Linked DNA regions of Schizosaccharomyces pombe. The protein of the gene in region 1 purifies or fractionates together with the protein of each later gene. This does not show direct contact. Each region holds a gene or a part of one and is shown in the gene's direction. Other genes may lie near its edges. The genes, in order: ctr1 and smd2.

The links.
Region 2: the proteins of ctr1 (region 1) and smd2 purify together in Schizosaccharomyces pombe (affinity purification with mass spectrometry, with the first as the bait; one study listed by BioGRID). This does not show direct contact.

What each region holds. Positions count from the first base shown.
Region 1 is NC_003424.3:1,896,987-1,910,269, forward strand, and holds ctr1 (protein ctr1), read left to right. Parts: upstream 1-5,089; 5' UTR 5,090-5,332; coding exon 5,333-6,220; 3' UTR 6,221-6,855; downstream 6,856-13,283. Other genes in the region: gar2 (nucleolin), read left to right, coding at 537-2,039; arb1 (argonaute inhibitor protein 1), read left to right, coding at 3,066-3,179, 3,221-3,303, 3,343-3,360, 3,400-3,651, 3,713-4,445; SPOM_SPAC110.06 (uncharacterized protein), read right to left, coding at 8,742-8,834; serine/threonine protein kinase Ppk1, read left to right, coding at 11,282-13,283.
Region 2 is NC_003424.3:4,257,708-4,269,890, reverse strand, and holds smd2 (Sm snRNP core protein Smd2), read left to right. Parts: upstream 1-5,299; 5' UTR 5,300-5,341; coding exon 5,342-5,346; exon of another isoform or gene 5,347-5,403; coding exon 5,404-5,504; exon of another isoform or gene 5,505-5,531; intron 5,532-5,564; coding exon 5,565-5,677; intron 5,678-5,738; coding exon 5,739-5,867; 3' UTR 5,868-5,938; downstream 5,939-12,183. Other genes in the region: rcm1 (rRNA methyltransferase), read left to right, coding at 1-524; cor1 (cornichon family protein), read right to left, coding at 2,287-2,570, 2,658-2,778; protein aim29, read left to right, coding at 3,792-4,169; serine palmitoyltransferase Lcb2, read right to left, coding at 6,192-8,003; iba57 (iron-sulfur cluster biogenesis IBA57-like protein), read right to left, coding at 8,758-9,540, 9,596-9,790; translation initiation factor eIF2B delta subunit tif224, read right to left, coding at 10,752-12,155. UniProt on the Schizosaccharomyces pombe protein: Plays a role in pre-mRNA splicing as a core component of the spliceosomal U1, U2, U4 and U5 small nuclear ribonucleoproteins (snRNPs), the building blocks of the spliceosome.

The sequences.
Region 1 (13,283 bases):
ATCAACAATGTACATTTTCACGGCCACTTTTTAGTTTATAATATTTGACGAACACAAATAACTTGGATAAGATGTTATCGTTCATAAGAATTTACATATTCACCACTCCAGATAATACTACGCAAGACTAAACCTAACTCCTTCGTTTCACTGATTCAACAATTTATTAAATTTCAATATGCTTTTTACCTTTAAGACATGTTATAAGCCTTCAGACACACTCATTTTTTAAATATTAATGGCGAATATTTTACTTTGCTGGTTTGTTGTTGAATAGCGCAGATAGCTATTACTTGATAGCGTAATTAGTTAAACTCGCTTTTATAAAAAATAGTAGTAGTTGAACAAGCTTCTATATTAGTAGTTTAACGAATACGTCTAGAAAATTTGCTATACTAGTATACGGCTTCAGGTACATATATCATCGGTAAAAATTTTTTTGGCTATATATAGCAGCTTGTCGCGCCGTACCAGCAGTCAAACTAAAAAACTCCCAAATTCTTTTAAACGGGCTTTTGGTATAGGTTGTGAATATAATGGCAAAAAAGGATAAAACCTCCGTTAAGAAATCAGTGAAGGAGACTGCATCAAAGAAGGGTGCCATTGAGAAACCTTCCAAGTCCAAGAAGATTACTAAGGAGGCTGCTAAAGAGATTGCAAAGCAAAGCTCTAAAACCGATGTCTCCCCTAAAAAATCTAAAAAGGAGGCTAAGCGTGCTTCTAGTCCCGAACCTTCAAAGAAATCAGTAAAAAAGCAAAAGAAATCTAAGAAGAAGGAAGAAAGCTCCTCAGAATCCGAGTCTGAATCTAGCTCATCAGAATCCGAGTCTTCCTCTTCAGAATCCGAATCTAGTTCTTCAGAGTCCGAATCATCTTCATCTGAATCCTCTTCGTCTGAGTCTGAAGAAGAAGTGATTGTGAAAACTGAAGAGAAGAAGGAGAGTTCCAGCGAATCATCTTCCTCCTCTGAGTCTGAAGAGGAAGAAGAGGCTGTTGTAAAAATTGAAGAAAAGAAGGAGAGCTCTAGTGACTCTTCTTCCGAGTCTTCCTCATCTGAATCTGAATCCGAATCTTCCTCATCTGAATCTGAGGAAGAAGAAGAGGTGGTCGAGAAGACTGAAGAGAAGAAAGAAGGCTCCAGCGAGTCTTCTTCTGACTCCGAATCCTCGTCAGATTCCTCCTCAGAATCTGGAGACAGCGACTCTTCCTCTGATTCTGAATCCGAATCCAGCTCTGAAGACGAGAAGAAACGTAAAGCCGAGCCTGCTTCTGAAGAAAGACCTGCTAAGATTACCAAGCCTTCTCAAGATTCTAACGAGACTTGCACTGTTTTCGTCGGTCGTCTTTCTTGGAACGTAGATGATCAGTGGTTAGGGCAGGAATTTGAAGAGTACGGTACAATTGTTGGTGCACGTGTTATTATGGATGGCCAAAGCGGTCGCTCAAAGGGTTACGGCTACGTTGATTTTGAGACCCCTGAGGCTGCTAAGGCTGCTGTTGCCGCTAATGGTACCAAGGAAATTGATGGTCGTATGGTCAACTTAGATCTCTCTAATCCTCGCCCAGCCAACCCTCAACCATATGCTCAACAACGTGCGGGTAATTTTGGAGACCAATTATCTGAACCTAGTGATACCGTATTTGTTGGAAATTTGTCTTTTAACGCAACTGAAGATGATCTCAGTACGGCTTTTGGCGGTTGCGGTGACATTCAATCCATTCGTTTGCCCACAGATCCTCAGTCAGGACGTCTTAAGGGTTTCGGTTATGTTACTTTCTCTGATATTGACTCTGCCAAGAAATGTGTGGAAATGAACGGTCATTTTATTGCTGGTCGCCCATGTCGTTTGGACTTTTCAACTCCTCGTACTGGTGGAGGTAGCCGTGGTGGTCGCGGTGGATTTGGCGGTCGTGGTGGATTCGGTGGCCGTGGTGGATTTGGTGGCGGACGTGGTCGCGGTAGAGGTGGTGCTCGCTCTGGAAACCCCAACCGTGGCTCGGTTGCTCCATTTTCTGGGAACAAAGTCACTTTTGACTAAGTATACTGGCTTTTAACTATATTGAGTTCATTTTTATGGGTTAAATGTAAATACCTTAGCAAATTAATATATGAGTTTGGGTTTTTGGGAAACTTTTTGGCATAAAGGGTTTTAATAAATGTTGGGCTGTGGATTTGATTTAATTGGGTTGAAGTATTCAAATACAAATGACTTGTTTGGGTTTGTTATGGAATGAATTTGGGTTTGGTTTGGTTTTATTGACTTTATAAAGATAATAAATATGGGCCCGTTGGTTTTACAATTTCAAAGCAGTGATGGTTGGCGTTGTTCTACGGTTTAGTTCATGTATTCACCTTTCCTTTATACGTTCCATAGAAGCTTTTGACATAGCTTTAGATAGGTTTTAATATAAAATAGAATCTTATTTAGTTTTGTTCTTGTTCATCTAATCAATCCATGTTACTCACAATCATCGTTGATCACTTTCTAATAGCTAGTAAATGAAGACCGTTTTGTGTTCCTTTTTGGGCTTTTCCATACGGCACTTTAAATTAATGATTTTTTGTTGAACTTTGATTGTGGTCTTACCCGTAATCATAAATGAAGAATGTAGTCGAGCCATTGTCATATTGTCTTATATCTTCAACTTGTAATGTCTCGTCTATTAAATTAGGTAAGCATCAATAGAAGGTATCATTGATTCTACATTACAAATACGCTTCTATTTCAACTTTTAAATTAATACAAGCATGTTTACTTACACTTTGGTTGCGATTATTTTAAGCAAATTAAAAAAAAATATTTTTGTATATCAAATTATAATATAGCTAAATTCAATTGTAACAGTAGTGATGAGTTCTGGCATATTCAAAAAACGGTTGTAGAATAATATATCCAGCGTTACTAAATCCGGCAAAGGAACTGTCTACTTAACTCTATGAACAAAGCTTCTAATACAACACTGTAAATTTGGTTCCTTAGATTCCCCTTACCACACTGATAAACTAGTAAATCAACTATACGACTAGTGTACTGACTTTCCAGTCCAGATGAAGTGATTGAGTGATGGCAGAAGGTGATTTTAAAAATGACAGTACAGGTTGTATTGGCGATAGCGTGGAATTTACTACTTTTAAAAAACGTACAGGAAAAAGTCTCGGTAATAGAAGAAAAAAGAGGGTATTTCTTAAGCTTTAGAAAACCCGTCTAATAAATATTAGGGATTGTCTGGATGGGAGCCTTATTTTCAAGAACCCGAACTGACAGCTGAAGAGAAATTGGAAAATGAGACATTATACAGCAGGTGAGAATACAAAATATTGTGTCTTACTAACACTTCTAGGAACATACCATTGACTGTGTTAGTAAACAGATGTTAAGGACTTTGCTGACAAATTAGGCGAATGGAGCGATTTATTCAAAGATATCGATCACGCAGAAAATGGAGCGACCCTACAAGAATAAGACTGTTTACAATGTATCTAGATTTAGGAGGCGTTTCTACGGGCCAAAAACAGTTTACAGGGGGTACTGATATTAATAACGATGCGAAGGCACGAGAAGTTTCCGCTCAAACCACGACTGATTATATTGAATACGATATACTTGATGAATATGATATTGATTTTAAGTGGGTTGCTGGAGTATTTCTGTGAGTCATTTATGTTTCCATTGAATTTAATTCACGTTGTATTTTAGCTAATCAATTTAAGGTCGTCACACATTTTGTATAACGCTGGACTAACTAAGGAAGAGGATTTGCAAATAGCTTGTCAAATTGTTAGAAATTTTCTGCTAAGTGTTTTGCATAACAATGTTGCACCAGAATTCGAAGATAATATTCGTGACGCATGTTTATTAGCAGAGCAAGCAGAAACTGAATTAATTTCTAATAAGAGGCTATCAACTAAACTTCCCGGTAGATTGCAGCGGGCATTGGCTAGTATACATGTTGACAATTATAAAGGCTTATGGGACAAATCGCAAAGTGATAGGACAAGTGATAGTTCAGTCAATTTCATTGAATCCAATAATACCAAATTCATGCCAAATGATGAACTATTTGAGCCTGATGGAATTAGTAGATTTTCTACACAGCAAGCGCGCGACTACATCCAGAGAACTCTTGGTCCACGATATTTGACTGGGAAAGTCGTTGAACAAGAGTACTTAACAGTCAAGTTAGTTTCTAAAACGCTATTGAATTTTTCAAACCAATCTTTATGCAAAGCAGTGTTTATCGTTTGGGATCCACCCGGATCTAAATATTCTCAAGATACAAATAAGGAAAGACTAGAAGTAATTTTGGAATCTGATTTACTGAACAACACTGTTGATGGCACTCACTTAGAGGGATCGTTCACTTTTTTGGATAATGGACTGACTATATTAGACACTGTGCTTGCTGTGCTACCCACCTTTTATGAAGAAGTTAAAGATGAATAGCATTGTATTTTAATATAGTTACTTTTGTAATATAGCTGGATATGAAATCCTTTAATTAGTTGCTTCTTCTTATTGTGATGAGGATAAAGTTCTAACATATATTAATGACCCGTTGGTGAGTTCGTACTTCCCCCAATTGCATAAACAATAAGTATAAGAAATTATAATTCCCAATCACATAATAGATATTACTTGTGTATGTAATTTAATGTTTTCAAATATTTTTATACAAATACGTCAAACTATGCGACAATATTTTGAAAGCTAGATCGTGCAGAAGTCGCTTCTGAGTCAGTATTGAGCAATAAGAATTATTCGGATGATTTTTTCAATAATCTTAAGTTACTGTCAGGCTCAATGCAATAAACACGATCAAAAGAACATTTAAAGCTATAATGTGTATTCACTTTTAATTGTAAACACAAACGATTAAAAAATTTACGTGTATAAGTATTTTTCCTCTATGAAGGCTAAAACGTTATGTGGAAAAGAATAGTCAATCATCAATAACGTTCATAACTTGTACTATTGAACAAGTCGTGCTGGGTAAAGATAGAAATCAAGTAACTGGATTGGAAGTTGTGATTAGCATAGCGAAACGCAGCGCCTATGGCGAAATAACCCAGGTGAGGAAAAGACACCTTACAACTCCAAAACGACGAAAATAAATTGGTAATTGTTTTACTGGGTTAAGTGTATTGTAGAAGCATAATTGAATTGAAGAAAGTAATTGCTGTTCTTTTGGACCTGTTATTTTTGTACAGGAGTAAGCAAACTACGGCTTTCTGCAATAACTTGAATGTTTTGATATATTTACACATTCTCAATAATTTAAAAGAATTGAAAATAATTATTAAATTAATTAAAAAAATTGAAGTATCGAGTAGATGAATGTTGGAAAGAAATCCGAAATTCAAGTCTCAGCTAAAAGCAATCTTAACTTCCTTAATGAACTAATTGAGGAAAAAAAGCGATACGAGGACGAGAAGCGCAAGATTAGCCATCAAAAGTATACCGATAAATTATTGGAAGCCAATGATAACGAGACGACCAAAAGGAAATTACTGGTAAAACAAAAAAGAAAATCCAACAAGGAATTTCAAAGTAATATTATCAAAAAAAGAAAGGACGAGGAAAGAAAAGGAACTTTAAAAACTGAACAAGCTAATGAGGAAGAGCTGTTGCAAAGAAGTCGTCTGGAACTGGAACGAAAAGCTAAAAAATACGACCAGTATGCTGCCGGAGAACTGGAAATAAAGGAGACAGAAGATGATGGAATCCTTGTCGACTTCACACGCAAATGGGCTGAGGAAGCACCCGAAAATGAAACAGTTGAAATAACGGATGAATTTGGGCGAACCAGGAGTGTCTCTATTTACGAGACCGGTAATACCCTACTTTCACAAAAGGAGGAGTACAAGCCCGAAAAGCCAATATACGGTGACTATATGCCATCCTTCGAAGTAGACGAAGAAAAGGTTCAAAAATTGTGGAAGGAAGATGAGCAGCAAGCAGTTCATTATGACTCGACTAAGGAAGTAAGGAATAAAGGTACGGCATTTTACCAGTTTTCTTTTGACGAAAAAGAAAGAGAAGAGCAACTTCTATCTTTAAAGGAGATTCATGCTAAGGTTACACAACAGCAGAGAAAAAACACAGAAGATGTGTTAACCTTACGAGACAAAAAACTTGAAGAACGGCGGAAATTTCTTGAGCGAGACTATGCAATAAAGTTGGGGGAGAGATGGATGTCTGAACATTTTTCTAATAATTGAGGTAGAAACTAATGAAATGAAAACGTAATGATAACGACTCATAAACAAAAGCTTCTTAGCGAAAACAGAGAAATGTAATAGTACTGTAGGAAAAAAGGAACACGAAATCACCAAAAACAGCAGTAGTTTTCTTCTTTTTTGTTTTATTTTAACGAATTATTTATTTCTGATTATTGAATTCACAATCAGTATGAATGTGAAATATTAAATTATGTATTTTGGAGAACCATTTTTTTGTTGCGTATTTATAAAATTAATAAGGGAGAAAGGATAGGGAAAAAAGCACAAAACATATTAGCAAGAGTATACAAGCAAGTGAAAAATAATAACCAGTTGGATGGTCAGCTTTACTTAAGCATTCTTTTATAAATTTTTTAATTGGCGGCAGAAAAAGGAAAAAAAATAAACTGGACGGCCAAATATATCAAAGCAAAGAAACGTTCTGAGGATATTAAGAGGAGAAAACAACTTATATGTTTTAAAAACAAAAAACAGAAGGACAATCTATTAAAAAAAGAATCAAAACTCGAAAGCCAGCTAAGACTGTAACGGAATTAAGAGGACTTTGGGTGAACGGCTTTTGAAGGCTTTTGGATGCAACCGCCTCCAATTTCATAAAGTCGGTACAAAGCAAGGTATCCGCATACCACAATGTCCAAGACAATAGCACTCAACGTTGGCAAAATCAGAAGAAACGCAATGGTGAATGCGGAAATAACCACAAATTTGATAAGGAAAGACAAAATTTCTTCAAGCAACATAACTAAGTATATATACAAAACTAAAAGATACGTTTTGAAATGCGGAAAATGATAATTAGGAAACAGAGGAATATGACTCAGACTTTCAAAACAGCAGTTATAACCGACCGTGTACGTTTGTAAAAACAATTGAGAATATTATTAAAGTTACTATTCTCGTTTTTAATATTGGATCACTAGAAGATATTGATTTGTATGGGTTGTAATTTGAATTTCAGTAAATCAATGGCGGTAGATAATAAGGTAAAACTGAATTCCGCTGTCGAATTCAGGGCAATCTCAGCATTCCCGAGCGGTGCTTTACGAAGTGTAGTGGTGTGCGTTATTTTGCTGAAAATTGTAAACACATAAAAAACCAAACTTCAGCAAGAAGAATAAAAAAAACGGAACTGATTGGTTGTTTATCGAAATTTTTGCTAGTTGAAATACAAAATTTTTGTTTAAATATTAGTGCGAAAGAATAAGGTCTGCAAAAAAGAAAAAATGGTCTGTTTATTAGAAAAATAAGCGAAAGTTGTTTAATGTTTATACCTTTCAGTGCGCTTTTTCCATTAGTATAACTTATTTTTCGTTTTCAACCCTCTTCTATCGTTTTGAAATTTTTTTTATATTAATCGTACCATCATCATTCTCTACTCGTTTCTTGATGTTTTCGGCAATGACATACATTTGATTATACAGCCAAACCCAGTGAAATTGTGTTGGAGTGCAAAATGTATTACGACACGATATACTATGCAATTTTTTTTACCAACCGCGTATAACGCATACGGCGTAATAAGCCGTTACCATATCGTTATTTAAAAGTTTTAATTAGAAAACAGCGTAATATAACGGATATGCACAAAATGCGTTAGCATTGAAAGCTAATGAGGTCTTGTGTCTCCACACTCGAAATTGCGGGGCTTGACTAAATTCAAGAACAACAAAGAGAAATGCCTGCTACATAAGGGATTTTGCCTGTGAAATGTGCGCAGCAGATAAATGTAGATCACGGAAAAAATTTAAAGTAGCACTTGGATAGTATGATGCGTTTACAAGGAAGTTGCTCAAACAGCAGAATGTCTGGCTGTAAACAGGAAAATGTCGCAGGGGGCGAAGTGATAAAACTCAGGGTTTCATGAAGTAAAAAGTTTTGAAATTTTTTACTAAGGTCCAGAGTTGGCTGTTTTTGTAAATTTTTAATCAAGTTTGCATGATTGCTAAGTAAAAGTTGAATGTCCTAATTTGCTCGTCCGAATGTGCTCTTTTTTTTTTTTCAGCGCACTCGTTAGACAGATAAAGTGAATGTTTTGCTAGGCCATTTTCTCGTTCTATTTTGCCTCGATTGAAACGTGGTATGTTTGCAGCTAAAAGGTATGTACAGTTAAGCCCAGTGGAGACAAAGATGAAAAGGAAGTAAAGCGAACTATGAAGCGAAACTATAAAGCAAAAACAGCTAGGTCGGGGAAAATTTCTACAAGAATTGCTTAAGTTCTAAAAATTTAAGTGTTTACTTTTAGCAAGAATAAATGTGTTTTCCTTTATTTTATTTTGTATTTTTTTTTTCTTTTTTTTTGGGGGGGGGGTAGATGGGGTGCAGCGACTCTTTTAGCAAAAGCTGCGTCCACCCATAAGTGCGAAAAGACCACGTCTGTCTTTATTTGGCGTTGTCGCTATTGATTTGAATATTGGCAATAACTATAACGCTTATGCCAAAGAGAAACAAGTCGGTATAAAAACAGGTTGATATTTTAAAGCGCGATTTATTAATGTAGTTGTTAAATAATGCAGTATGGTACAGGAAAGGAATAGAGAGCAAGGTAAAGAAAAGAAGTGATGAAGGAGGGAGGTAAGAAAAAAAGAAATCTCATATTGATTTTTTTTAAAGGTATTAAAGAGTATATTTAGAATGTTTGGATAAAATATATATCTCATGCGTCCATATTCCTTCAGTCATTCATTCCTTCATTTATATACCTCTACATCTCTTTTTTTCTTTCTTTTCTTTTTTGTTTTCTTCATTTTCATTTTCATTTTTCTCTTTCTTTCCTTACCTTTTTTTTATTCTTTTGATTAGTTCCTTTGTTTGTTTACATGCGCTTGCATCTTACTTTGTCCCTCTCCTACCCCTCCAATCTCATAGTACAACTACTTACTCTCTATGCTCTCTCTCACATCCTTTGTATGCTTACACTCTCTCCCCGTCGCCCCTACGTATTACCTGCAACCTAGTTATCAAATTATCCTTCCATTACCCGGAGCTTCTACATCATCCGTTGTCAACACATTGGCCAGATCCCGCTCTCTCCTCCTAATTCGTTTCTAAAATCGTCCACATCGTCTATCTATGATAACATCGGTCTCCAAGCATTAGGGGCCTTATCTTAGATAAAATAGCAATCACTCGTCCTTTTATCAGGAGCGTGGTAGCCGAGGCCTTTTCTTGGCCAATGAAAAGTCATCATCAGTCATAGACTATGAAAAGGAATGCTACCACCCTTATCATTGGTGGTTGTTTTTGATACTGTTTAAGCGAGGTTATTTATTATTACGTAGGTGCATTGATTGTTATTTGTTTAGAGTGGACATTACTGGTGTTGTTAATAAAATGCGTATTTGCGTTAATGCAGGTGGAGCATGAAGAAAATTGAATTTATCCTTTACCAAATTCAACATTACTACTCTCTTATTCCTTCTTCCTTCTTCCTCTTTCCATCTTCATTCCCATACCCTACATCCATCCTTGATTTCCATCATTCCATACATTAGATACGTACATCTATCTAGTTAGTTACATTAGCCATACACTACACTACATACACCCCATTGATCAACTCTTTCCATTCCATTTTTTTCTTTACCGGATCGTGATTTGTGTATTGTCGATTCATCGTGTATTAACATCATCCATTTCAATCTCACTATAAACTGGTTGCCTTTTAGTTTGTTTTTGGCCCGAGATATTGGTTTTCTTTCTTTGCTCTACTTCCCCCTTGCTTCCATCCATCCCTTACAACTTTGGTCTTTTTTGTCGCTTGTTACCTATGGCCCTATCGCTTTTTCTTTTCCAGCATATATTGTGATTTGGTTTTTTTTTCTTTCACTGACAGTCCTCTTTCAACGAATCCCTCTTTATAAGGCCTTGTATTCTTCTTCTTCTTCTTCTCCTTCTCCATTAAACTTTGTTGCTAATCGATCCCCTCAAATCGTCGTCCAATCTTGGTTTGAAAAATTTTTTATTACAATTATTATTTTTGTTTCGTTACGAACTTGGCTAATCAGCTAGTTACGAGCTCGTCTGTTCTACTCTTTTTTTTTCCGCTTTTTTCTTTTTTCCCCTTTTCATCTTTCATCCTTTGCTTTCTTCCATGTAAGCCATATATATTTATTTTCTGCTAAAAAAATATTCTACTTATCTATCTGTCTGTGAATCAATCTTTGTCTACAAAGTTTGAATTTTTTCTTTTTGTGTCAACTCCCAATCACCCATTTTTGTTCCATTGTCGTTCCCTCTTTTGCTATATCTTTTGCTAGGCTTTGCCGTAAGTCTTTTGGCATTGTAGCGCAGTTAACGATTTGAAAAGCGTAGCAACAATTATTTGAATTCATAACTCATTTTTTCCATTTTTTGAATAGGAATATTCATTACAACATACTCGCGATTGTTTGTTTCCCCTTGTTCTCTGAAAAACATTTTATTTTTTAACCCTCAATTCCTAATTTCTGTTTGAAAAATCAATAGTCTACGAAGATAAACGTGTCGCTTACTTTTTTTTTCTTTTTTGTATATTTTCGTCTCTTCATTCAACACTCTCAATTTGGTTGAATAATCTATTGGGATCGAACTAAAAATCGCGTCGGATTCCAAATCTTTCGCTTTGTAAATCTGTTTTCATTGCTTACGCTACATTTACTATTGTTTTTTAATTGCTTTGTTCCTTTTTTTTTCTTTGCACCTTAACTTTTATTTTTGGCTTTCTACCACTTTAAATGTGTAAATAGGTTTTTCCTCTTCCTTTTCTTTTTTATAATCACCTATCTCTTCCTTCTCACTATTTTTTTTGTATCGTGTTGTGAACTGGAATACGTGTATCTTCCCATCTTTCTTTCTCTTAAAAAAAATTGGTCATATATCACATTTTTGTTCCTTGACCATTTTCCTCTCTTGCTTAATCCGAAAACGACTATTTAAAAATAAGCAATATATTTAAATATCTGGTTATTATTAGGTTTCGTTTTATACTTCAAAATATTTATTTAGTTTGATTCTTGATCCCACTGCCTTCTGAATCTTTATTTATTGCTTTTCTTCAAAGCTATGAACGCTCAACCCTTTCATAACAACACTTCAGATGTGCAATCCTTTCAGGACATTATAAGCAATTCCTATCAAAAACCTTTGAGCTTAGTTGACAGTACTGATCGTGCACTACCGGATTCTTCTCTTTCAAGCTTATCACGATCTACCTTTCAATTTCACAAGCATCACCTTTCTGGCAATGAGAATCCTCAGCCCTCTTCCGAAAGCCCCTACTTCACTAACAATGAACGTTTGAATTCCTCTAGTTTCCCTCAAATCCATGATAATCAATTATCTCCATCTTTTAACACTTCTTATCAAGCCATTCCTTCCTCCTCCTCTAATCGATCCCGTGGTGGTCCTTACACCCCAAGCATTCGAGATGACTCTCTTCTAGCTTTACTCAGTTTCTCCTCGAATCATCGTCTGCATTCTATGCCCTCTCAACTTCAGCCTTTTAATAATGCATCATCATACACTACTCCAATGGCCCCTTTTACGGCATCCTTTTCTAACAAGGTTTCTCATTCTGCTTACCCCACAAGGAGGCTACCTAGTCAGGCAAAAAAAACATCGGCAATAGAGAGAGTTCCGGTCAATCTCAATTTCCTACAGTCGGACAACTTGGTTGTGCAGTCATCGCCGCAAACGAATTTTGAAAACTTTGAGTTTCCGAAAAAGATTCCATCAAAAGAAGATTTGGAAACTCGTGAAGTGTTATTACTCCCTCCGCAAACGTCTAAACTCTCAAACAAAAATTTGGACACCAAAAGTTTTACCGATGTTAACAAAATTTCCCAACAAGGATTTGTGGAAATCAGTTCAAATTCTTCAAAAGTTACCCCCAATACAAGCTTGCATCAATCCTTTGGCATAGCAAGCTCCTCTTCCAATAATTATATGCAGACATCGTCTGAACTTACCTCTTCTACCGAGAAGATGAATGGATCGCATCCTTTGCAATTGTCGAATAAGTCATTATTGTCGATCCATCTTATGCAGTCTAAAAACCAAGGTCATGTTTCGATGACAGGTTCAGATAAACTCTCTTCTCATGTACAGTCCGAAACCGAGAATGCTCCTGTAAGTAAACCAAGTAAACCAAATACTTTGACTGAAGATGAAAAACCTTTACAGTCTACGAAGCTCCCTGGAAATTCTCTTACTGTTGGTGAATTATACCAAGAACCCAAAAGTATCCAGCTGCCCGAATTGTCTGTTTCACGGACTACTTATTCGGCTCAATCCTCTTCTGTCAAAAATTGCAACGAACGCATTCCCTCTGCTAAAGCTCTAAAAAAGCAAAAGCATTTAGTTCCGGAAAACAAATCAAAATTGCAATATGTATGGCAGAAAAAAGAAAGCCTCCCTTATGCTAACCTTACTTCCGCAAGTAATACGCACTTTTTTCTGTCGGAAAACCAGAACGACACTTCTGAACGGTTGACCCGTACTTTGAGAAAAAGCACAAAAAACTATACGTTTGGCTCTTATATATTGGGAAGGACAATCGGTACCGGCGAGTTTGGAAAGGTTAAACTTGGCTGGCCTTTACCAAAAGCCAATTCTACTATTCACCGCTCAACACCGCAAGTTGTAATTAAAATAGTTTTGTCTACGAAGCAAAACTGTCAAACAAGCCGATTGATGCGAGAGGTGGCCATTTTAAAAGGTTTGGGTAATAATCACCCCCATATTGTAAAATATTTGGATTTTGTAAAAACTAAACATCATTTTGGTATAGTACTAGACTATGTTAATGGTGGTGAACTTTTTGATTATATACTGGCGCGCCGAAGACTTGAAGATTCGGTTGCTTGCCGACTGTTCGCACAATTAATAAGTGGTGTTGCCTATTTACATTCTCGAGGAGTGGTACATAGAGATCTGAAGTTGGAGAATATATTGCTAGATACTAATCGAAATATCGTAATTGCGGATTTCGGCTTTGCGACTACTTTTGGGCACTTTAATACTCTCAGTGAACACTCATTGCCCACGGAAAAGCCAGATTTATTTA
Region 2 (12,183 bases), 2.4 Mb from region 1:
TCACTCATATCCTGCTTGATCCTTCTTGTTCTGGTTCTGGAATTGTGAGTCGTCAAGACTATCTGCTGGGTAATGAACAAGACGTTACGGAAGATACCGAAAGACTTGAAAATTTGTGTAGTTTTCAGTCTACCATTTTAAAGCATGCTTTACAATTTCCTAACTGCCGCCATGTCACATATTCTACATGTTCAGTGCACCGTTTAGAAAACGAACAAGTAGTATGTGAGGTTTTGTCGCAAGAACCTGACTGGAAATGTAACTCTTTGACAAAAACTCTACCCAACTGGAAAACTCGAGGAATTCCAGAGTATTGTGCTCAACCTTCAATGGCTGAAGGAATGATTCGGTGTAAACCAGGAGCCGGAGGTACTATTGGTTTTTTTGTAGCCAATTTGTATCACCCTCAAAGAGAGCAAGAAACTTTCAAAATGTATAAAAATGATGATGATACCAAAAAGCGTAAGCGCAAAAAGAAAAAGAAGGAAGTGAAGAAAAAGGCTCGCATACAAGGTGAAGAGTAAATTCATCAAAGCATTAAGACAAATTATCGCATAGCACTTATTCAACAAAGTGAGAGAAGCTATCGTTGTATGATCTCAATTTCTATAGACAATTTTTTGTGTTTTTGGAAAACACACATATTTAATTTTTTTTTCTTTACGGCTTTGGTTAAGGACTGGATACTAAAAAAAAATACACATCTTACGGGGACTAATCGGAAATGGATATTAAGTAGGCAAGATAAGTAATCATTAAATTTGAGCATTAACTAAATGAGCCTGAGGAAATGATGAAATTGTATTTAAAGGGATTACTAAGTCTTTTTCGCTAACCTAACAACTATATGGTAAGAGTAAGAACAACATTAGCATGTGAACAACTACGATTAGCCAAATCATTATCTTAACAATTTCAAAAACAGTAAGGCTTCTCAAACAATGTTGTATTGCTCAATCATGAAAAAAAGAAGAAACGACCGTTGTGTTTATACTTCCATGCACATCCTGCGAAGGTGAATCCCATCGCTATCGCACTGCCCAAGACCCGGTAGTGATGTGCATTGTTTCCAACCTCCATCGGTACTACACGGTTTAACTGCCAGTTGCCACGAAGACTACTCTTCGAACAGACGTGGCAGATCGAGGGATCGAAAGCGAGACTCGAACCCGAGACCACCGAACATGCACTATTGGGAGTACTAAACACTTCGACCAAGCCATTACAGCGAATACATATATGTATTAATAAATTATATAGAAAATAAATAAGTTAATTCGCATAAACAAAAGTTTCAACTTTTCATTGCAAACCCTTTAAAGCTTTTCATCGCGTGCACGCATATTATAAAAAAATATGATCTTATTTCTTTGTAAATAATAAAAATTCTCTCAGCTTTTATATAGTTGCGAAGAAGCATTTACTATTGCACAAATAGCCTTTCAAAATTCGAGTTGCCATGGTGTGAAAAACATGACCAACAGAGATTTTTGTATTAAGTTCATTGCTTATCCCTCTACCTTTCTTCAGAAATAACATTCACTCACATTCTGATAGTGCAAACAACCAACATTATAACTCAATGAATTAAACGAAATATAATAAGCTAAGCAACACGTAGTCAATTAAAAAAAATAAAAAAGTGCTATGAATGAAATCCTTTATTTTACAAACCTCTAAATGATGCTAAAGAAAAGCAATGACAAAAGTCAGAGCTACAGCCTCTCAAAGGTGAACACGTGGAGAACAAAATAAAACTACACTATTGCAGAAAACGACGGTATCACATCCAACTTACATTACAACATATCATAGGCAAACACTATAAGTACAAATATGACCTCGTGTGGTTTTATTTGCACATTAAACTCACTATTCCCTAGCTCGGCAGCAATTAAAGATTTTATTCATAGCAACAGGTCAGATGCTGCAAGTAGGAGTTGCATAGGAAATTGAAGGCGAAAGACTCTCTAGGAGTGAAAACATAAACCCCGTTAAACGAGATCCCACGAGTAGAAAGAAATGGGATTGACGAACAATTAACAAGAGATAAAAACAAGTATTGAAGTAGCTACACAATATACATTGCCAAGACAAATGCACTAGCTAAAAGCGAAACTTTTTGCATCTGGATGGCTTTAAATAGTTTTGACCAAGACGAAAAACATTTAGGAAAAGAAAACAAAACTTTTGAGTAGCAACGCAAAAATTGCTTTAAAACTATTGACTTTGAAACTGATCACTAAAAGAGGAGGGAAAATAAATCACACAAACTTAACGATACAATTACTCGTCCACAAGTCTACTGACGAAGAGGAAGAGGTATACGAAGAAAAATACAGCAAAACATGCCAGCTTGAAAAAGGATCGTTTTTGTCTAGAGGATACGTCTTTGAAGATGGTTGTAGAGTCGTGCATATGAGTGTTGGACATAATCATTTTGGCGTTCCAAGCCAACATGGGTACATTGAGAAGGAAGGTGATCCAAGCACCTGACAATAATAGAAGAAGGGCACTGAAAGCTTGAAAACCCATTTCTGGTAGTACATACCAGTTCAGTTTTCGAGACACTAAATAGGGAAAAAGATTAGTATATATACGAATCAGAGACATTTATCATTAATATATATCGTTAGAATGTGATTATTTTAACATACAATCAATGGGATTTATGAAATCGTCTTTCAAATCAGAGTACATCACTGTAAAGTACATCTGAAGCATGATATTTGCACATGTAAGCATAAGGCTGGTAAAATAAATCCAAGCAGACACCATTTTGGATGTTTAGACACTTATTTTGAGTTTTCAAACTTTTCTTTTCGATGGGTGTAATAAGATAACTTGTCACAACTCATTGATGGTAAAATGAGCGAACGAATCGTAACGACCACAAGTTCGAATCGCACTGTTGACATGAATCTTTACCAAATGGTAAGGGAACTCGAAAAATCTGGAAGTTTGGTTTTTATGTTTACTAATCAATTAGTACGTTAGTATATTTTTTATTTTTTATTTTAAAGAATGGGCTTCGATTGAATGATCGTAAAAAAAAGTGAATTCAAGAGTTCTATGCTAATATAAATCAAAGAGACGCATGCATGGACTATGAAACGTAAACACTTCAAGTAGAAGTAATCATTGTGTTATATTCTTTAGCTTTAAAACCGCTTTAGTTAATAAAATATATAGTCTGGGTTGAAAACATTTACAATTATTCACACTGTATAGAATTAAATAATTTTACGATAATTCGATCCTTAAATATCATCATCAACTTGTTCCTCTTAGTTGTAGAAACAATTCTTATGCGTTTTTTTCGTAAACAGTCGTCAAATATTAAACTATTTTTGTTTTGCAATAATTCAGCCAACATTCAATTGGCTTCTACAATGAACATTCATTCTTAAATTAAAATTTTCTAGAAGAATAGTATGAAGGTTTTTAGCTGTTAGGATACACAATTCAATTTGTTATATTGCTAGTGTACCACTTAGTGCACATCTCAATCATTTATAATGCTTCGTTCTTTCTCTATACTACACAAGTTACCATTGACTCGAGTGTTAATCAAATTGCAATTGTATATACGAAAAATATAAGCATAAAGGTGAGGCTCTGGAGAAACAAAAAGCTATTGTGACATTTTTTTGGAATACAAATAATTTTGAAAGTTTTTGGGAATTTCGCAAGGATTTCGAACCCTTATATAAGAATCGAATTACAGTCATTTAACTATTGATCATTTGGTACTTTTTTACTCTTTGGTTTTATTTAAATCTTTCAAAAGGATGACGGGCGCAACGTTAACTGTTCGAGTAATTCGCAACTTTGAATATCGGACACTGAAAAACGTCGTTTTCCACGACATAGATCTGGCCACTACGACTGTAGACCAGTTCAAAAAAATCATCGATGAACGCATACAAACGGATCCCTCATTGAAAATCTACCGTACTACCCATTTTGACACGTTGAAGATTTATGTGAAAGCCCAGCAGCACAAAACCCAAAACTTGGCTATTAATTTAGACCACGATGATTGGATTCTTAATGATGGAGCCAAAACATTGTCTCTTTGTGGAATTGAAAATGAAACTGAGTTGTCCTACTTTGAACTTGCTGCCTACAAGGCCTATCAAGCAAATCCTGTACAAAAATGGCTTTAGACATGCATAACTTTATTAAGAGTTCAATTGTTGGTGTTAGGAATAGGAGATGAGTTTACCTTTGTTATTTAAATTGAATATTTTTCAAACTACGCTAAAAAATTCCTGATGTCTTTATTAGTGCAACTATTTAAAATTACCTAGGTCGCTGTTGCAATTCATGTATTGACAATAGCAGAATGCATTGTAGTGAGCAAAAGTATGTAGAATAATAAATGATACAAAACAATACGCATTTTAAACCAAATGTTGTAAACATCGACTTTATGACTTGGTACCAATAGCACCAAGGACGTCCCTATCTACATATTTATATAAGAACAAAACATTTCTCATTCATCAAAACGCTACACCAATACTTAATAAAAAGTTATTTTAAAAACAAGCAAAAAAAGAGTTGCGCGGCCAGGTTTCGATCCTGGGACCTACGGGTTATGAGCCCGTCGGAGTTCCACTCTCCTACCGCGCACAAATACCGTCACCAGCAGGATTTGAACCTGCGCGGGCAAAGCCCATTAGATGACTAGAATACAGGATTCAAGTCTAACTCCTTAACCACTCGGACATAGTGACTTTAGCTGTACATTTATCATGAAATGTAATTTATATAGCCAAAATCAAAAATTTCTATGTAATTTTTGATAGGAAGTTTCCAATGCTCAAATGGTTGATTTCACAAAAGCATTGCTTTATGTTAAGAAAATATTGTTTTTGGTGTTAGAATATATTTTTTTTATTATCAAAGTAAACTCCTAAAACTACAAGCTTGTCTATTCAGCTTAATTTCCATAAGTAGCTAGTGTTCATCCTTCAATTCAATGACTTTGCATTTGAAAGGATAGTTAGTTTATGAGACCTTAGGGATTTTGTGATTAAGTAGTCCAATTATACTTCTAATGTTATAATCAATAAACAATTACAATGCATTCAGTTTTTTATATCCCACATTGAAAGTTGTCAGGTATGAGTTAAAGTGTGTGATTAAAAGATTTTTTTTAATTAATAATAAGATATAGTAAAATATTGAACCGAAATTGATTTTCAACATTTCGCTTCTAACTTGAAATCCATTTTGTGCAATCTTGAACTTGCTCGTTAAATAGCACTTGTCCTTGACCCCCAAGAGACTTAAAATTCTACCATTTTTGATATTCCTAGCTTGTATCGTTCTAATGGCGTATGTCTTTTGTCCTTTTATCTAAAATTTTTTGATTTCTTTTTTCTAATAATTTAGCGATTTGGTTGATAAACCTAGAAGTGAACTGAGCGAAATAGAACTCGCTCGTCTAGAAGAATATGAATTCTCTGCTGGTCCATTAAGTGTTTTACAACAAGGTATACTATATGATAGAATGTCAATTTTAAATTTACATACTAATGGCTCTTCTGTTTTAGCGGTAAAAAATCATGATCAAGTTCTTATTAATTGTCGAAACAATAAAAAGTTGCTTGCTAGAGTAAAGGCATTTGATCGCCATTCCAACATGGTATTAGAAAATGTCAAAGAGGTAATAATTTTTTTCATCTTTTAGTCTCTCTTTCCATCCACACTTGCTAATATATTCTTAGATGTGGACCGAAAAAAAACGAACAGCTTCTGGCAAAAAAGGAAAGGCTATCAACAAAGATAGATTTATTAGCAAAATGTTTCTTCGTGGTGATGGTGTCGTTCTTGTTGTCCGTATTCCCTCTGCATAATATACCCCATTTTCCTACCTAATGGATACTTAAGTTAGAAACGACTTCAAAATATCCCGATGTGCTTACAAAAAACTATTTTATACGTGTGTTAACTTTATTATTAATTAAAGATATCTTTATTTGAAAATAAAAAAGGCTCCATCTGTAGTGTCTCTCTAGTTGTGCCTTGAATGTCTTTCGTAAAAAAAAGCGAATGAATTGCAGAAAGCTTTCAGATGTAGCACCCATCTTTCCTAAGAGATTTATTATATAAAAAAAAGAATGGTTATGACACAAAAATCATATTATTTTCATTACAAATATACAATGCTAGCATATTCATTACTGTGTAAGTGCATCATGGACTCCATGCTTCAATACATCCTCAATCTTCCAACGAGGAGGTTTAAACCAACCTTGATTTTTCTTCATCTTTTCAACGTTAGTCTTACCCACATCTTCACCAGCTGCACCGGTGGAAAATTTCAACTGAAGCTTCTCACCAACTTCATCACAAGCTCTCAAAAAATAATCCATGTCGGCTTTATTGTGACTAGCGGAGAAACAAAACCTCACTCTAGAGGTCAACAAAGGACAGGCAGGATACCCAACAACAACAACGGCAATTCCACGCTTCAACATCTCATGAGAGAACGCATTGATTTTGCCAGGATTATACAAAAGCAACGGGACAACTGGACTATCATCGTTTCCAAAAATAATAAAGCCAAGTCGCTTCAACCCCAAGCGTATATAGCGGCTATTAAATGCCAGGCGTTCGATCCTTTCTAAACCAGCCGAAGTTGGAGAGTTATCCATAATTTCAAGAAAGCTCGACTTGATCTGTGCAAGGACAGCAGGGCTCATGGATTCAGCATATACATAGCCTGGATTTGTAACACGTAGCTTATTGATAATATTGGGAGTAGCGCTGATATATCCGCCTGCAGCACCAAACGATTTTGTAAAAGTTCCCATCAAAATGTCTACGTGGTCAGTAGAAATGCCGAAGTAATCACAGATACCACCTCCACGAGGTCCAATAGCACCAATTGAATGAGCTTCATCAATGAACAGATAAAATTTGTAGCGATTTTTCAACTCGACAACCTTAGGAAGGTCGCAGAAGTTACCTTCCATGGAATAGAGACCTTCGATGACAACCAGAATTTTAGAGTAAGGACGATGTGTACGTGGTTGACCTTGAGAGATTACTTCGCGCAAAACACGCTCTAAATCAGTCATATCATTATGCTTGTACACACGAATGTTTGCACCAGAGAGACGGGCACCGAAACGAATGGAAGTGTGATTTAACTCATCTGAAATAATGAGAGATCCGGGGCACATAAGGGTGGAGAAAACAGTAGCATTAGTGCTAAATCCTTGAGAAAAGACCAAAGCAGCAGGTTTACCAACAAAATTTGCCGTTAATTCTTCAACTTCTTTATGCAACCCATAAGTACCACAAATGGCATTTGAGCTGCACGTAGACAAACCATATTTTTGCATCGCTTCTTCAACCTTCGTGGCACAAGGACCATGACTTTGGGCAAAACCAAGGTAGTTGTATGAAGAAACGTTTAAGGCTAAAGATGTATCACCAGTTAGTTTAAAAGTACTATTGCTATCAGTGGAATAGCGATTCATGAGACGAATGACACGACCGGGAACACCCATGGTAGGTCGGCTGAAACAGTCGTTAATACGATGCTGAAGACGACGTACATAGAAGTTATCAAAATGATTGTAAAGGGGAGCATAACCATCATTGTCTTTGAGATACTTATAGTCATCCTTATGAAATCTTTTACCGAAAAAGTCGCGAACATGCCCTATAATGATAAGCACCAGATAGGTTAAATAAGTTGCGACCACATAGTAATATGAAGGCTCATCTTCGAATTGAAAAAGCTCGGCGCCATCAGGATTTTTGGAAACCCGACGATGAGTAGGATCGGTGATGGGAGCAAACTCATTCTCCAACAAATGCTCAGAGTTTAGCTTTTCAGCAGCAACTTCCTCAGCCTCGAGTTTTGCACTTTCCGTAGACAGGGGAGGGTTTTCGACATGATCAACCTTCTTATGAAACTCAACTTCCTTTTTCTCACTTACATCAATAGATGTAGGGGAAACAAAGTCCGCTTGAGCCATTTTTGGTTAAGTGAAACGAAGTCCAAGTGCGATTATTAAAGCCTGAATTTTTTGAGATGCGAGATACAACAAAAATCTGTTTGCGATAAGTTAATCTGAAGGTAATGCAAACGAAATAAACCAAATAAAAGAAAGCGCTGTTTTCAGAACACTAGATAAGTCTCTAATGACAAGCGTAGGCGAATTATTTGAAGCACTGCTTATCAATCTTTTCCTGAGACACCCCAGCAATCCACTCAAATGAATTCTAATGAATGTTTTTAATTAATTAACAAAAGGAAGTTAATCTAACCCTTTTTCGTCAAGAGAATCAAGTCTTGTAGAAAAGTGCAGTGGCAGGTATACGCAAAAGAAACGTTTCACCCTACTCTCTTTGGTTGCGGCATTTCCCCTATAACGAACCGCAGCGAATTTTGCTGTAATACAAAATTCCTTCAAATATACAATTCCTTAGATTAAGAAAAAAACGATCAAATTTTTATTGTAGACGGATGTGCTGCCAAGGTACGATTGCCACCATTGAATTCCGTTACAAGTAAAAAAAAAAGGGTTTAGGCTAGACGAAATTTCTTACTTAATTGAATTGCGATTAATAGTACTAGTACCACAACATAAACATACAATTGACATGTGTTCTTACTATTTACACTGAGTGGGAGAATGCGCAAATTAGCTTTGAGTTAGATGTAGAATAAAAATGAATAATTGATAGAAAGAATAAATAAAAGAAGAGAAATCTGCAAACTTTTTCAATTTATGAATTTTCACTTGGCGTAGACGATAACTCATCTAACCAGATACTGGTGTTCAGCTGAATAGGTATTCCATTACATGCCAAGTCGCTTTTGAGATATTGTAGACGGACCAAAGCAAGCCCGACTTTTCCTAAAATTGCAATAATTTTACCAGGCGATCGACGAGAGACCGGCTCTCCTTGCTTTGCGACAATTGAAAGCGGCGCCGAAGGTTCAATAACTTGAGATGGATTGTCTTCGTAGTTCGGAATAATAAATGGGAAAATCCTTTTTCTTGTTACCCCAGTATAGTAGGTGCGGACAGTGAGCTCTTGACCCAAATAGCAGCCCTTGTGGAAATCGATCCCCTTCATCCAATCCATGTTGCTTTCCAGAGGAAATGAAATACTAGGAATAATCTCTTGAGGCCCTTCTGGTATTCCATTTCGGTATCTAAAGACTTTGTAATCATCTAGCGAGCCGGAGGAAGAAGAAGTGCATGTAGAAGTAGGAACTATCATTCGTAGCAAACGCTGTTTGGAAAAGCGAGGATCTTTTGCGTAAGCGACAGTATCTTTTAACCTACTTTCTTCCTTTACGTCCCAAATTACTTTGATAGATAATTCTTCAGATGGTATCTTTGCTATACTACACCGGGATCGCAGGTTGTATTTCTTCAGGTGTTTTAAAAAATCGGATTCTGCAACCTTGTCAATTTCAACGTACAATTCATCAGATCGTTCATTTTCCGTGCCATTATTGGAGACTTTTGGATATATAAAGGAATCAAATAATACTCGCCCCTAGTAAGTTAGAATACATCGCGCATCATTAAACCCAACACCGCAAGCTCCTTACCTGTGTATTTAAGAAGCCCGTGTATACAGGATTATCTAAAGTTATTTTGTTGGTCGTTAAGCCCTGAAGAAACTTGACTGCATCAACTCCTTCAACACGAATGAGAGATTTCGATGAATTTAGACAAACGCTGTAATTTCTAAATAGCTGGAATGAGAACTTTATAAACTTGCTCCTAACGGTGAACCTATTCATTGCCCATAGGTAAAGTACTTGAATTCACTTGGTTTCCTGAGGCTAGAATAGGACTCTTTTACAGTAAACCGAATTTCTAAAATCGATAAGTGGTTGAGATGATGATTTCGCATCACATTGTTTTTGTTACTTTTCGGGGGAATCCAAGGAGGATATGGCAAAATTATTAGTGTATATTATAAAGATATATATTATTATTTGTTTGCAATACAGTAATATCACTGTAGGAAAAAAACCTAAGGTCAAAACATACTGAAGATGAATTTTCTTCGATGAGGAACAAAATTTCCCTTTTCTTAAAAAAATAATATTTAATTCTGGTGTTTATTACTAGAATCGCTCTTAAATTATTACAGGTTTTAGATCATAAGCTGACATCAAGCGTAAAGCTTGTGATGCAAAATTTTATTTCAGCTTCGAACATCAGTTCTATAATTTAAAAAAAAAAAAATTGAATATCGAGTAACAGCTTTCTATTTTGTGTCTTAAAAAAAAAGAGATTGCAAGTTTTCTCCGATATATCCGAAGCATCAGCATACTATAGCCGGAAATGAAGTGATGAAATGACATTGTACGATCCCTGCTCATTTCATTTCATCTACAAATATTAACCATTAATACAACAAAAGAACATCATTACTCTTAACCATGCCAATAGCTCCCCTTGGATATACCAATATGTCAAAAATCATGTTGAGACAATTTAAATGCCAATATATAATCTACATGGAAAAATTAGAACAGTTTAGGTTCCTTTAAGAAAAGAGTAAACAATGAACTTTTGTAAATTTAAATATAATGAATTTTTTATTTTCACACAAACCAAATCTTCCAAGCATTGAGAAAGGAATGAGAAATAACAAAGGGAAAATGAAAGGTACTTCAAGGAAGCAAACATGGATATGCTCATAAATTACCTCTGAGGTGGACGAAACAAAAAAACAAAAGGAAATTAGAGAAATTAAGCATAAACCTGTTTGAACTCGTTTATGATAGCCGGTACCGAGGTTGAAGGTAAAAGCCCCATTTCACAAACACATACAGTAATTAGACGAGGTGGAGTAACATCGTATTTTAGACTGAGTAATTTTAAGTTCTTAACACTTTTCCAATTTGCGAGTACACCAGGTTTTTCTTCAAAGTCATCCACACCCATGTTTACAAGTTGATCGCCAGGTGCAAGTTCATTGTATACCAACGAATCCAATTGAATGCGCTCAGTAAATTTATAAGACTCGCAACACGCTATTACTGGAACATTAGACTCGTGTCCCAAAAGGGAAATTAAAGAGGTACCGGCACGAGAATATAGAGCACCATTCGAAAGCATAGCATGGCCTCCAAGGAAAATTTTGGTCACTTCTTGCATGATATAGGAAAGCGCTGAAATCATGACATAGGTACATTCAATCCCATGCTCGGTCAACAGCTTCAAACAAACCCGGCCTTCAAATTCTGGACGAGAGTCTACCACGACAACCCGGAATTTTTTACCAACATTCTTAGCATGAATGAGAACATCGTTTACTGTCGAAGAGTGCAAGTACGTTAAAATGACATCTCCGTCTTGTATTTTTTCGGTTGCTGCTTGTACGATGACTTGTCCTGCAATGATAATACGATCGCGAATATAACTGTCAATTTTTTCCAGAAGCAATTCTTTTCCCTCGTCGTCGGTAAGGTCAATGTCTAAAACAGAAATTTCGAGTTTTAAAAAGCGAATGGCGTTCCCCATACTGATACTCAACGGACGAGTTGATACTAAATAAGCAATTTGAGAATTTATATGCGTGGTCAGATGCCTGCTCAACGTCGTACCGTAGGGTGTTTGATAATCTTGGATGACGATTTTAAAAGTTTTCAACAAATCAATACAGCGCTGATTCGATCCAAAAATCTTATAATTTGCAAGTTTTAAACCCAAACGAATAACAGCAGGATGGATATCTTTCGGAATATTTTCAGTGGTTCTACGACGTCTCCAATCGAGGTGCGAAAAGATAGAAACTTGCTTTTCCTCAAAAATCTTTTTTTCTTGCAAATTAGCATCAGTTTCTGGACTATTCTGCGGGTTTTGTTTCGATGCCTTCTTTTGTTGGTTACTATTTTTATTAGGGATAGCTACCTTTTTTTCTTCTGAAACACCGGGTGGATTATTCGCGGCAGCTGCTTCGGCTTTTGCTCTTCTACTTGCTTGTTTTCTGGCCTTTTTCAACGCTTTTGCCTCCTTCCCTGAAAGTTTTGGCTCATTGGGAGAAACGACAGAAGAAGCTGTAGCTGGAGATGTTCCTCCCACACTAGAGCTTTCACTAACAGGGCTTTGATCCTTCCCATCCTTTTTTGCTTGTTCTGCTGAGAACCCCATCAGAAAATCAATATTTCTATTAAATTGG